Canis lupus familiaris: one gene and its partners. The protein of the gene in region 1 interacts with the protein of each later gene in a pairwise test. Links are inferred from orthologs where the notes say so. Each region holds a gene or a part of one and is shown on either strand. Other genes may lie near its edges.

Region 1 (3,562 bases):
CAGTGCCATCCATGAGCTCTTCCCCACAGGACCCAAGAAGGTATGCTCCTCAGGGGACTCCTTGCCCTCCCACTATCCCATGCACTCAGAAATGATGATGGCCAGGAAGGTTACTTTCAGCACTCACAGCTTCGACAACCAACAGATATACCAGCGAAGCTCCTCCTTGTTGTCCTTCAATGCCACGGGTGGTGAGAAGGCCAAGATGGGTCTGGAAGCCTATGGGCGAGCCCAATCTGCCTCACCTGCCAAACCCACAGATGGCCTCTATACATACTGGAGCGCAGGGGCAGAAAACCAGTCTGTGCAGAACAGCAACAGCTTCCACAACTGGTACTCATTCAATGATGGTTCTGTGAAGACCCCAGGCCCAATTGTTATCTACCAGACTCTGGTGTATCCTAGAGCCGCCAAGGTAAGAAAGGCTCTGGGCCTGTGGGGAAGGTGGGAGGATGTGGGGTACAAAATGGAAGTGGGTAGTCAGAAAAGGTTGCACTTACCTCTTTGACCTCTAGGGTCTAGTCACTCAAGTCTGCTCCTTTGCATTCCTCAGGGTCAGCCCATTCAAAAGGGATAAGTTCCTAAAATCTTAAGTACCCCAAGATTGGCTTAAACCAAACAACATATTTAACTCATAGACAAAAATACATCCTGAAAGCCCCAACCCCATTCAAGGGCAATCCAATTGGGAACCAAAGTAATATGAAGAGACTGATTGGAGGGTGTAATATTTCCCAGGGGAAAACCTATAAGAGTAGAGAGAACACAGAAATTCAAGTTAGAAATATAGGCTGTGATTCCTCTAAATTGCTACCTTTCCTAAAGAAAGTGTCCATACTCTCGATGATTTGGAAAGAATGGAAGGATAATCCCCAGTGGAATTCCAATTCTAACCTACTGAGATTCAAATTTTGGGGGACGTGGATCTCTCACAGACCTCTATAGCTTCTATCATCTGACTTCAGGGGACACAACTCCTCCCTGACCCTCTTGGCTTAACATGGACAAATGACCCTTCCCTTGATATTCCTTTCAAATCCAGCTGAATCTACATTGAACTGTTTATAGAATGTGTTATGAAGGTTCAGGGAGGGAAACAGAATAACTTGCAATTAGATATTCTATTAGAGCTACCTTGCCTCTCTTAGGGTTCCCTACACGGACATCTTCCAGACCAGCCCTTGGCCTGCTTTTGTGTGGCAAAACCCATCTTTTGCCACCCATCTTTTGTTTTGAGAACGCTCCCAAAGATTTTTAGCATCCTTGAACTCTAACCCATTGATTCTCAAACATTAATGTGCACCTGGAAGTCTTGTTAAAATTCAGATTCTGTTTCAGTGGGCCTCAGGGGGTCCTGAGATTTTATGTTTCTAACAACCTTCCAGGTGTTGCCATTGCTGCCAGTCTGCACACCACACTTTAACATCAAGGGTCTAAAAGCAAGAAAATGAAAGCCAGACACTGACCAAGCTTTACTTTGCTGTTCTCCTGAGACATCATAATCTGTGTTTTAGAGTCTATAATTGCCAGCAAGAATGACCTACATTGCAAAGTAGAATATACCTTCCCATGGGCTATCAGACACAGCAAAGTATCTCTGCCCTTCATGTAAGAGATACCCACAACTGAGCAGCTGAACTTTCATCTCCCAATGAAACTAGATCAGCAAAGCCTAAAGTGTATGTGACATTAGCTCAGTTATGACCTTAGGTCTCTCCATGCAACTTAGATTGCTTAGGAGGTTGGCAGTTTCTTGCTCTGGAAGGGAAGGACTAGTGATATCTGCTCCATACTTGGGCTTGGAAAACAGTCACTCCATGCCACTGGCTAGTGGTCCCTGGAGGAGCCCAAGAAACAGGCCTACATAGGAAAACCTAGTCAAGCAAGACATTGTCAAAAGAGGACACCTAAAAAAAGAGAGAGAGAGAGAGAGACAGAGACAGAACACCTAAACCTACTACCAAATAGTGGTTTTTGGTGTGAAGATATCATTGATCCCTATTAGGATGATGGGATGGAATTCACATGGGAAACATAGTGCTCAGTAATGCCAAAGATTAACTTAATGTTGCTTTCTCTCACAAATGATGGTTGACAGTCCTCTTAGGCTTTTGGCATAGGAAAAATCCTTAATGTTAGTCTTATAACTTGTCAATATGTATCTTAAAAATCCTAAGGAGTTTTTTCTAAAAATTCAATTTTATTTCTAGAAATCTTTCCCAGAGAAATGATTAAAAATTCAGATAAAGATTCATGCCCCAAAAGTCTTCATTGCATCATTATTTATTAGACTATAAAATTAGAAACAACCTAAATGTTCAACTATGAAAGATTAAATCACTTATGGGACAATTATTAAAGTGGTGCTTTACTAAGTTTTTCATAATATAGGGAAATATGTAAAGTATAACAAGTGAAAGAAAAGAAGAATCAAAGCAATATAATCCAAATTATGTGTATCTCTGTATTTGTGTATGTCCCAAAATTGGAAAGAAATTAATTATTAACAGAATTTGGGGATTATAAGTGATATTTATTTTCACCCCTTATATTTTTTCTATACTTTCCAGGTCTTTTACAATGAGTATGTTAGTTTTGATAATCAGAAAAAAAAATAATTTTTACTGATGAGTTATATAAATTTATAAAAAGTTTTACAAGTATAAATATATAAAAATAACCAAAAATTATATAAATTCACAAAAATGTATGCTCTTATGAGTATTAAAAAATTAATTATATAAATGTAATAACATTTGAATTTATTAAAACTTTAAGAACACAGTAACTGCATAGAAATATAATCAGTATAAAATATTTATATCCCAGGCACAAGCTGCTAATTGACACTTGTTAAATATCTCTTTCCAAAAGTTGAAATTTTATGTTTTGAGTGTGAACATATATTCTCCATAACTTGGGTAAGTCATTTCACCTCTCTGGTATTCTACTTCCTTGTGTGTAAAAGAGAGGGTTGGAATAGATACACTTTTCATCTTGGTTGGTCTGTGGTTCTATTAGAAATTGCTAAATGTAACCTTCCTGAGCCTTAACTGTAAAATGGGATGATAAAATTTCCCTTTAAGGGAGTTGTAAAAACTAGGTGAGTAAAGGAATGTCTGACAGAGAATCTGATGCATAGAACATGTTCAATAAATGGCATCTACCTTGCTTAGTTGTGTAAGAACAGTGGTCCCGTCATTTTGGGTGATGGTAACAGAACCCAGAGGGGCATTCTTTTGTTCTTGAAATGCATCACGAGCAACATGTTAGGCCTTATCAGGCAGCCTTTCAAGGCTGTTGAACATAGTCTATGCCAAAGTCCGTAGCAGCTGGAAGAGTTGGGGTCAGCTTAAACTCACCCCACTGACAGTGACACAAATCTTTATAGGAAAGAAAGCTGAATGGTATATATTAGTATCACAGCCACATGTTCATTGCTTCATAGGTTTATTGGACATGCCCAACAGAAGATGTGGACTCTTTTGAGATGGAATTTTATGAACTCATTACTACCCCTCCTAACAATGTGCGGACAGAGCTTTGTGGGCAAATTCGGGAT
Region 2 (4,090 bases), on another chromosome or scaffold:
CCTGTGTCTCTGCCTTTCTCTGTGTGTGTCTGTCATGAATAAATAAATAAAATCTTTAAAAAAAAATTCTGTTTTGCCTTCCTTGGGGTTACTCTGCTGATTCCTCAGGGTGGTTGTACTGGAGGGAGAGAGACAGGGAGCAAGTGAAAAAATTGAGCAAGACGTGAGAAGGAGAACAAACCAGGCTTCCCTGCCACTCGCTGCTGGTGCACTCAATCAGCACCTCATGGGGGGCAGAGGCAGGACGGAGCTGGGCTCCCTTTTAATCGCCCTTGTGTTTCTACATGCAGCCATCGTGGCCCTGATTCTTACACTTGGGGGCCGCCTCCTCCTCTCTTTCCTTCTTCTTCTCCCTCACTCCCTCTCTTCCCTTCTCACCCCGTCCTTCCTCCTCCACCTCTTCCTTCCTCCCCTCTCTCTGACACACCATGGAGAGAGATGTCTTGCCTCCTGCCTCCTGCCTCTGGCTCAAGACTCCCTGATGGAAGAAAATGGAAAAGTAAAACAGAAAAACCAGGCTGAACCATTGAAAAAAAAAAAAAAAAAAAACTGAAGAGGGATGGCTGGGTGGCTCTGTCAGTTAAGCGGTTGCCTTCAGCTCAGGCCAGGATCCCAGGGCCCTGGGATGGAGCCTGCTTCTCCCTCTCCTCCTGCCCCTCCCCACTGCCTACTCCCCTGTTTGTTCTCTCTTTCTCTCTCTCAAATAAATAAGTAAAATCTTAATTAAAAAAAAAAACCAACTGAAGAACAATCAGCATGTCTCTGTGAGAGGCAGCTATGACCTAAAAGAGTACAATCCTTGCCACTCTAAAACAGAAGCCCCTGGTGTCAGGGGGACCAACAAATGCTTGATCTTTCCTGCGTCTAGAAACTCTGGGGTGCTCCACAAATATTAAAAACAACTTTTGTCAGAGACTCCATCACCTCGGAGCCCGCAGGTGGGAATCACAGCCCTCTCCAATGACCCTGTCGGCAGACAGTACCCTTGGGCCCATGTACTGGCTTCCCTAAGACCGTGCATCACCTTCAACTTGCCCAGGACTATCTTCAGTGACTGTCCCAGGTCACAGCAACCTGTTTACAAACATCTAGAATTCCCAGGCACTTTTAGGACAAGGGACTCGAGATGTGTCCAAGTGGGCAGTGAAGTCTGCTCTAAGAGAAGCTGTTCCTCAGGATCTATTTATGCCCATGTAAACACTTGCCAAGGAAACAAGGCATGTGGGCATGCGCTGGCCCCGCGGGTCCTTGGGTGGCTGCAAAAGGCAACTGGACAGTCACATGTCATCACAGTGGAAAGTACATATGCAACTATTCTTAGCTCTGGAATGTATACACTGTCTCCCTGCCCAGTGCTTCTTTCCCGAAGTTCTAGAAAACTGCGAAAGCACCGTTAGCATAAACAAATCCAGAACTCTCCCAGGACAAATCATTTGCCAACTGAAGGAAAGGCCTGGGTTTATGGTTTCACTTGGAGCAGAGGTGGAAGCTCTCCGGAGGGACCAGCCGGACCAGGCATCGGTGGATGTCACTGCAGCAAACCAAGGTAAAAACCTCTAACGGTTAATTCTCCTGCAGGTAGACAACCAGGTGTCACCCAGGAAACCCTGCCCAGAGTACCGTTTGCTCTCTGCTTTCTATTTATCACATCTTTAAACAAAACCCCAAAGCCTCTATGAAGCCACGTTTTAAAAATTAAATTGCAGAGGCCCATTCTCATCCTTTAGTACCATCTAGTTACCAGAGGGCCACATCCCCAGAACGACATCCTCGGGGAATGACTAACACCCGGAGGAGGCTCACAGACTTGGGCTGCTCAGATGCACGGACGGTCCCCTTGCTTCAAGCTAACATTTCAGCCCCTGACAATCAGGTAACTTCCAAAATGTTGGTGGTTCTTTTTGTTTTTTCCCCTCAGATGATCTGAAGATGCTATTTGCCTATTACCTTTGGGAGTAATCACAACTGGGAACAAAAAACAAAACAAAGCAAAACAAAACAAAAAACAACAAAAAAAGAGGTGTCGGCTGTGAGGTCTGGGGTGTAGGTGGCTGCTCTTTCCAGTCTTCACTAAGCAACATTCTGGGTGAAATCCATAAGCATCTTGGTGGGTGGACATAGATGCACTAAGGCTGAGAGACAGCGCAGGCCAACCCTTCGGCACATGCTACCCCTTGGGACCTCCGCCCCCCCTGGCAGGATGGACGAGGAGTTGCCAGATGGGCTGCTCTTCAAAGACCATGACTTCTCCTCTGAATTGTTGAGGCAGCTCAATGGCTTCAGGCAAAACAGGATGCTGACCGATGTGAGCATCTGTACGGGGACCCAGGAGGTCCCGTGCCACCGAAGCGTCCTGGCTTCCAGCAGCCCCTACTTCAGAGCCATGTTCTGTAGCAACTTCCGGGAGAGACGTGAGGCCAAGGTCCAGCTGAAAGGCATCGAGGCCGGGACCCTGGAGCAGATCGTCTCGTATGTGTACACCGGGCAGGTGCGCATCACCGCGGACAACGTCCTGCCGTTGATGGAGGCAGCCTCCATGCTGCAGTACCCCAAGCTGCTGGAGGCCTGCTCCTCCTACCTCCAGAGCCAGCTGACCCCCAGCAACTGCCTGGGCATGATCAGACTCTCTGAAATCTTAAGTTGTGAGACCCTCAAGAAGAAAGCCCGGGAGGTGGCCCTGACGCGTTTCCCAGAGGTGGCCACGTCGGCCGACCTGAAGGAGCTCTGCGCCCTGGAACTGAGAGACTACCTGGGGGACGATGGGCTCTGTGGGGAGGAGGAAAAGGTGTTCGAGGCCCTCATGGTTTGGGTCAAGCATGACCTCCAGGCCCGGAAACGACACGTGCAGGAGCTGTTCGAGCAGGTCAGGCTTCAGTACATCCACCCGGCCTTCTTCCACCACTTCATCGCCAACGAGGCCCTCCTACAGTCCTCGCCCTCGTGCCGGACCATCCTGGAGACAGCCAAGAGGCAGATGTTTGCCTCATATGTCACCACCAGTGCCCCAGACCTCCAGCCTCCATGGCATGTCCCCCCAAGAACCTCTTATCAAGATTTCCTCATCCTCTTGGGCGGAAGGAAGGACAACCAAGAGACCACCAGGGATGTTCTGCTGTACAACAGACAGACCAACCAGTGGGAGAACCTTGCCAAACTCCCAACCCGGCTGTACAAGGCCTCAGCTGTCACCTTGCACCGCAGCATCTACGTGCTAGGAGGCATGGCTGTCGGTGCAGGGAAGAATGTGCCCAGCCACAACGTCTACATTTACTCCCTGAAGCTCAATCAGTGGAGGCTGGGGCAGCCCATGCTGGTGGCCCGCTACTCCCACAGAAGCACTGCCCATAAGAACTTCATCTTCTCCATCGGGGGGATTGGGGAAGGGCAGGAGGTCATGGGCTCCATGGAGAGATACAACAGCATCTTCAACATCTGGGAAAGTATGGCCAGCATGCCGGTGGGGGTCCTCCACCCTGCAGTCGCTGTGAAAGACCAAAGACTCTACCTTTTTGGGGGAGAGGACATCATGCAAAATCCTGTACGCCTTATCCAGGTAAATGGCTGGTCCTTCCCATCACGTAAGTGCATGAGGGTACACTCAGGCATACACACGTGTGTGTGCACACACATACACACTTATACCTGTACACACATAAATACACACATGCATACACACGTGTGTACATACATGCATACATCTATACATGCATGCATGAGTGCATATAATACACACTGTTGTTTGCAGGGAAAGCATAAAGGAGGGAGGAAAGGAAGGATGGAAGGAAGGGAGGAGAGAAGAAAGTTTGAATTCAGCAAGATTTTATCCGTTTATGAGCTCTTGTTGTGTAAGATTAATACACAATTAATCCTTTGTAAGAATACAAAGGAACGTCAGATACGATCCCTGTCCACGAAGAGTTGATTTGCTGAAGAAACTAGTGTATCTGAAAGTTAAAAAAAAAAAAAAAAAAGTTTAAGTTAGAACACATTGAGTGTCAGAGAGTGAAGTTTATAGGAATTTTGAAGATGTTTCTAACTCAAATCAGCAAAGCCTTAGAAGAAGATTCCCAAACATTGGACCAAATCCCTG
Region 3 (4,072 bases), on another chromosome or scaffold:
TACGTGTGTACTTTGCAGGTGGAGGTGCTCGCCTCCCGCACAGAAAACCTGGAGATAAGCAAGAACATAGGCAGGTGAGGGGTGGGATTTACACAGGGGTGATGCGGCATCCTGTGGGCCTCTCCCCCCCCCCGGACAAGCGGCCGCCCGGGAGGAGCCCGCCACTCGCCGCATTTCCTCCCTGTCCACCTGCCCTTGGGTACTGAGGCCGGCTGTCGGCTCCTCCCTGTCGGAACATCTGTAGCCAGTGCTGTGCACGCACCCTCACCTGCATTTATGGGGGAGCTCTCTGCATCCCGTGGGGGCACGCTTCTTTGCCTAGTTACAGCAGCTTTGGGTCACGAGTCAGGGAGCAAACCCTACCAGTAAAGCACAAACGTGCCCGTGGGTAGCATGCGATCCCTACCCCAACCCCAAAGCAAGAAGGGAGAGCGAACAAAGCCAGATGTTGCTCGTGGAGACCCAAGGCCTGGAGGCTCCCAGCCCAAGTCCTTCCCAGCAAAGAGAGCCCACACGTTAAAAATAAATGGTCTTTTTATTGTGTCCACGAAAACAAAGTCAGGGTGGCCTGGGTTAATCCCCCCCGACGAGGTGACAACAGACAGGAGGCATGCAATGACAACAACCATGTTCTCCTCTCCAGGAGAAGGGTCTTACCCTCCTGGGCCCTGGATCAGAGGCAAGCAGGACCAGGAGACTCCAGAGGAAGGCCTGCCCGGGCCCGCCATGCCGCGGAGGGCCTGGGCTTGCCACCTCCTGGGCAGAACGAGGCAGGGGAGCAAGCACTGCCCTGGGCCAAGCCCAGCACACCGAAGCTAGAACACACAGAAAAGCCCCCACCCCCTCCCCCAGCAGACACTACTAAGGCAGTCAGCCAGGACTTCCGGGAACAGCTGGCCACGAAGCCAGCCCCTCAGGGCTCCGTCCAGAAGGGATTGCCATCCTCAGCCTGCATGGAGTAGTAAACAAAGAGCAGGAAGGCAGCAAAGACCAGGAACAGGAGCAGCTGGCCCCAGAGTGGGACCTGGCGGTCCTGGCCCAGACCAGCCCCAGGGGCCTGCTTTTCTGGCCGGATAGCACGACGGGTGAGCCACGAAGTGGGGGAAGATGAAGATGAGGATATGGGAGAGGTGGAAGAGGGTGTGGGATAATAGGACAGGCCCAGGGAGCTTCTGGAGATGTTGGAAACAGGGCGGTAGTGCACGATGTTCTGGTAGGCGCTGTCCCGGCCATACCCGGAGCGTTCCCTGAGGCAGAGGACAGCAGGTGAGCCAGGGGGCCTGCGCCCAGAACCACCCGCTGCCTGGCCCTTCCTGCCACTCACCTGTCCTTGCTGTCCTCTTCAGAAGAGAAGAGACTGTCATCGCGCACCTGCAGGTAACAGTCAGGGAGAGGGGAACTGGCCAGCAGAGTCAGCAGCCTGTAGCCTGTCCCGTCCTCACTGCAAACTAGCCTAGCTGAAACACCCGGACCCTGTTCCCTCCAAAACCCTCCTGAGTTACCAGCCTTAGCCCGGTAGGGCTTTGTCACCCGCTCCACAACTCGACAGGTATCCTGGCCGCCTGCACCTTACTTTCTGCCCCGGGGGGTCTGAGAAAGATCTCAAACCTAGATCCCAGGTCAGGGTGCACGGCGTCCCAGGTGCCCTAGTGTTAGGTCTGACACTCCCCCAAGGACGGCCCTGCCAAGGGAGGTGTGCACTTACCTTGCCTCTCGGGAAGCACAGGGCCTACCGCGTGCGCCCCCCCCCCCCCCCCCCCCCGTCCAGGTTTTGTCCAAGCCCAGCTATGACCCCCACAGGTTGTATGCAGGTGCTCGGCAGCCAACTCACCTGGTGGTGAAAGGTGTCCGAATCTGCGAGTGAAGCTGATGGCTGGCGGAAGCCCTTGGAGGAGCCCACAGGCTCAGGGTCCCCGTAGGTCCTGGTGCTCAGGTAGCTCTCCTCGTAGTAGTCATCGCCGTAGCCTTGGGAAGGGGGGGAGAGCGGTAGCAAGGTGCACAGTGGCTGCGCCCACCTGGCCCTAATCTCAGTCCCACGTGGGAGCCTGTGGCACCGTCTCTCCCCTCTGGGGCTGCTGAGGATGACGGGCTTGAGATCCCAGGTCCCCCCAACACCAGGCTCCCTGAGGGAGGGGGTAAGGGTGACAGGGTGCCCCCCCCAGGGTGCCCCCCCCCCGCCCGCCCAGCCTTACCCTTGCTCTGGTAAAGCAAGGCGTCTTCTTTCTTGGGCAGATCGTACATATCCGAGTCCACGGATGCCGAATCTAAGTCTGAGGGGGGGGGGGCGGGACCATTTGCCCCCGGCTCCCCTCCCTTCTTCCTGTGCCCCTCCCAGCCACCGCCCCTGCCACACCCTCCGGACCCCGTGCCCCCCGTCGCCCAAACCCCGTCCCCCTGGGAGGCCAGGTGGAGATCCGGGGCGGGGGCCTCACCCGAGAACCGATAGGAGAAATTGAAGGCGGACGAGTTGGGGGGCGACAGCCTCCGCCTCTGGGTCTCGTACTCGAAGATCTTCTTTTCGTAGAGCTTGCGAGTGGAACCTGGCCAGACACGGGACGCGGGGCGTCAGGGCCGCGGGCCGGACCCCGGGGGGGGGGCGGGGAGGGGGCGCGCTCGCCGCCGCGTACCCACGACAGGCCCGTGCGGGATGTTGTACTGGCGCAGCACGGCGGCCAGCTCGGCGTCCGACAGGACCGCGTAGTCGTCCATGGCGGGCGGCGGGGACCCGGGGGCCCGGGCCTGGCGGGCGGCGGGCGGCGGGGAGCTGGGGGGGCCCGGGCCTGGCGACGCGGGCCCAGCTACCGCTGCCTCCGAGCACGGCGGGGGCGGCGCGAGCGTCTCGGGAGCGGCAGCGCTCGCGTCACGCCTGCGTCACGCTCGCGTCACGGCCGCGGGCTCTGCGGACTGCGCGCGGGGCGGGGCGGGGCCGGGCCGGCGGCGCCGGCGCGGAGCGGGGGACCGTGGGAGCGGGCGGGGCGGGCGTCATGACGTCAGACGTCGCAAGCGGGCGGGATAGGCTGGCGGCGGCGGCGGGGCGGGGCCGCGCTCCGGAGGGGCGGGGCCCGCCGGCCGAGGGGCGTCACGCGCTGGCGCGCAGGGGCGGGGCTCGAGCGAGGAGTCGGGCTTGCGGGGGCGGGGACGAGCGTGGGCTCGCCGCGACGTGGGGGCGGGGCGGGGCGGGCGGTCGAGGCGTCACCGGCTGGCGTGTCGGGGTCGGGAGGGCGGGGGTGGGGACCTACGCAAGTCGAACCGGCAGAAACCGGCCAGGACAGGAAAGCGGCGCAGGACTGACGCGCTGGGCGCGGCTCGCGCTCCCTGAGTCACGCGGGCTCCGACGGTCCCCGCAGCCCCCTGCCCCCTCCGCACCCCGCGCTCCCCGGCCGCCCCGGGCCGGCCGCGCCTCCGCCGCAGCGCGAAGGGACCCCGATCCCGAGAGCGGGCCCTCGGGGCCGCGGGGCCCAGGCCCGGGCAGCAGCCGCCTCGGCCCCCGGTGCCACCCCGCCCCGCTCCGCTCTCCACCTGCGCCCGTCGTCCCGCAGGTCCCCAGCGCCTCCCACCCTCCCTCCCTCCCTCCCTCCCACTGCGCCCGGGAGGAAATGGGGCACTGGGCCAGGAGGCCGCGGGCACCCCAGGAGCGGGCATCCTTGCAAGGCACTGGGCGTGCCCGTGGGCGCTGGCAGGGGGCCGAGCCCGGCGTGCGGGCGGCGGCCAGCGTGCGCCCGACCCCCGCGCCAGCCACCTGGGGCGTCGGGGCTTTCCTCTGCTGTCCAGGGCGTCCCCGTGGCAGCCTGGGGGGGCGGGGAGCCTTCAAGCCCCCGACGACCTGCTGGGCCGGCTCTGCGCGCTTGGGCCTGGGTGGGCCCCGGGGTGAGCCGAGCACAGGGGGCCCCGGCGTACTCGCGGGTGAGCGCGCGAGGTTGCAAGGCCGTGGAGAGCCTGCACTGTCATTAGGAATTCGTGAAGGCCTTGGTCGCAAAGAGCTGTTCTGGGGGGATTGGAAAGGTGGTGACAATCATATTCTAAATGAAGCCAACTCAGGGAATGTGGGTACAAATGAAGCGCCCCCCCCCCC

What was found.
Region 2: the proteins of TRIM42 (region 1) and KLHL38 interact in binary tests that used the Homo sapiens proteins (3 or more experiments, as listed by UniProt). The two-hybrid records come from large-scale screens. The link is inferred for Canis lupus familiaris from reciprocal best matches to the Homo sapiens genes TRIM42 and KLHL38.
Region 3: the proteins of TRIM42 (region 1) and EMD interact in binary tests that used the Homo sapiens proteins (3 or more experiments, as listed by UniProt). The two-hybrid records come from large-scale screens. The link is inferred for Canis lupus familiaris from reciprocal best matches to the Homo sapiens genes TRIM42 and EMD.

Annotation. Positions count from the first base shown.
Region 1 is NC_049244.1:37,251,060-37,254,621, forward strand, and holds part of TRIM42 (tripartite motif-containing protein 42), read left to right. Parts: coding exon 1-415; intron 416-3,448; coding exon 3,449-3,562.
Region 2 is NC_049234.1:22,348,988-22,353,077, reverse strand, and holds the start of KLHL38 (kelch-like protein 38), read left to right. Parts: upstream 1-1,274; 5' UTR 1,275-1,546; intron 1,547-1,918; 5' UTR 1,919-2,164; coding exon 2,165-3,553; intron 3,554-4,090.
Region 3 is NC_049260.1:123,237,307-123,241,378, forward strand, and holds EMD (emerin), read right to left. Parts: upstream 2,799-4,072; 5' UTR 2,710-2,798; coding exon 2,628-2,709; intron 2,541-2,627; coding exon 2,433-2,540; intron 2,271-2,432; coding exon 2,193-2,270; intron 1,966-2,192; coding exon 1,832-1,965; intron 1,399-1,831; coding exon 1,325-1,398; intron 1,248-1,324; coding exon 914-1,247; 3' UTR 517-913; downstream 1-516. Other genes in the region: collagen alpha-1(I) chain-like, read right to left, coding at 3,193-3,519, 3,582-3,941. UniProt on the Homo sapiens protein: Stabilizes and promotes the formation of a nuclear actin cortical network. Stimulates actin polymerization in vitro by binding and stabilizing the pointed end of growing filaments. Inhibits beta-catenin activity by preventing its accumulation in the nucleus.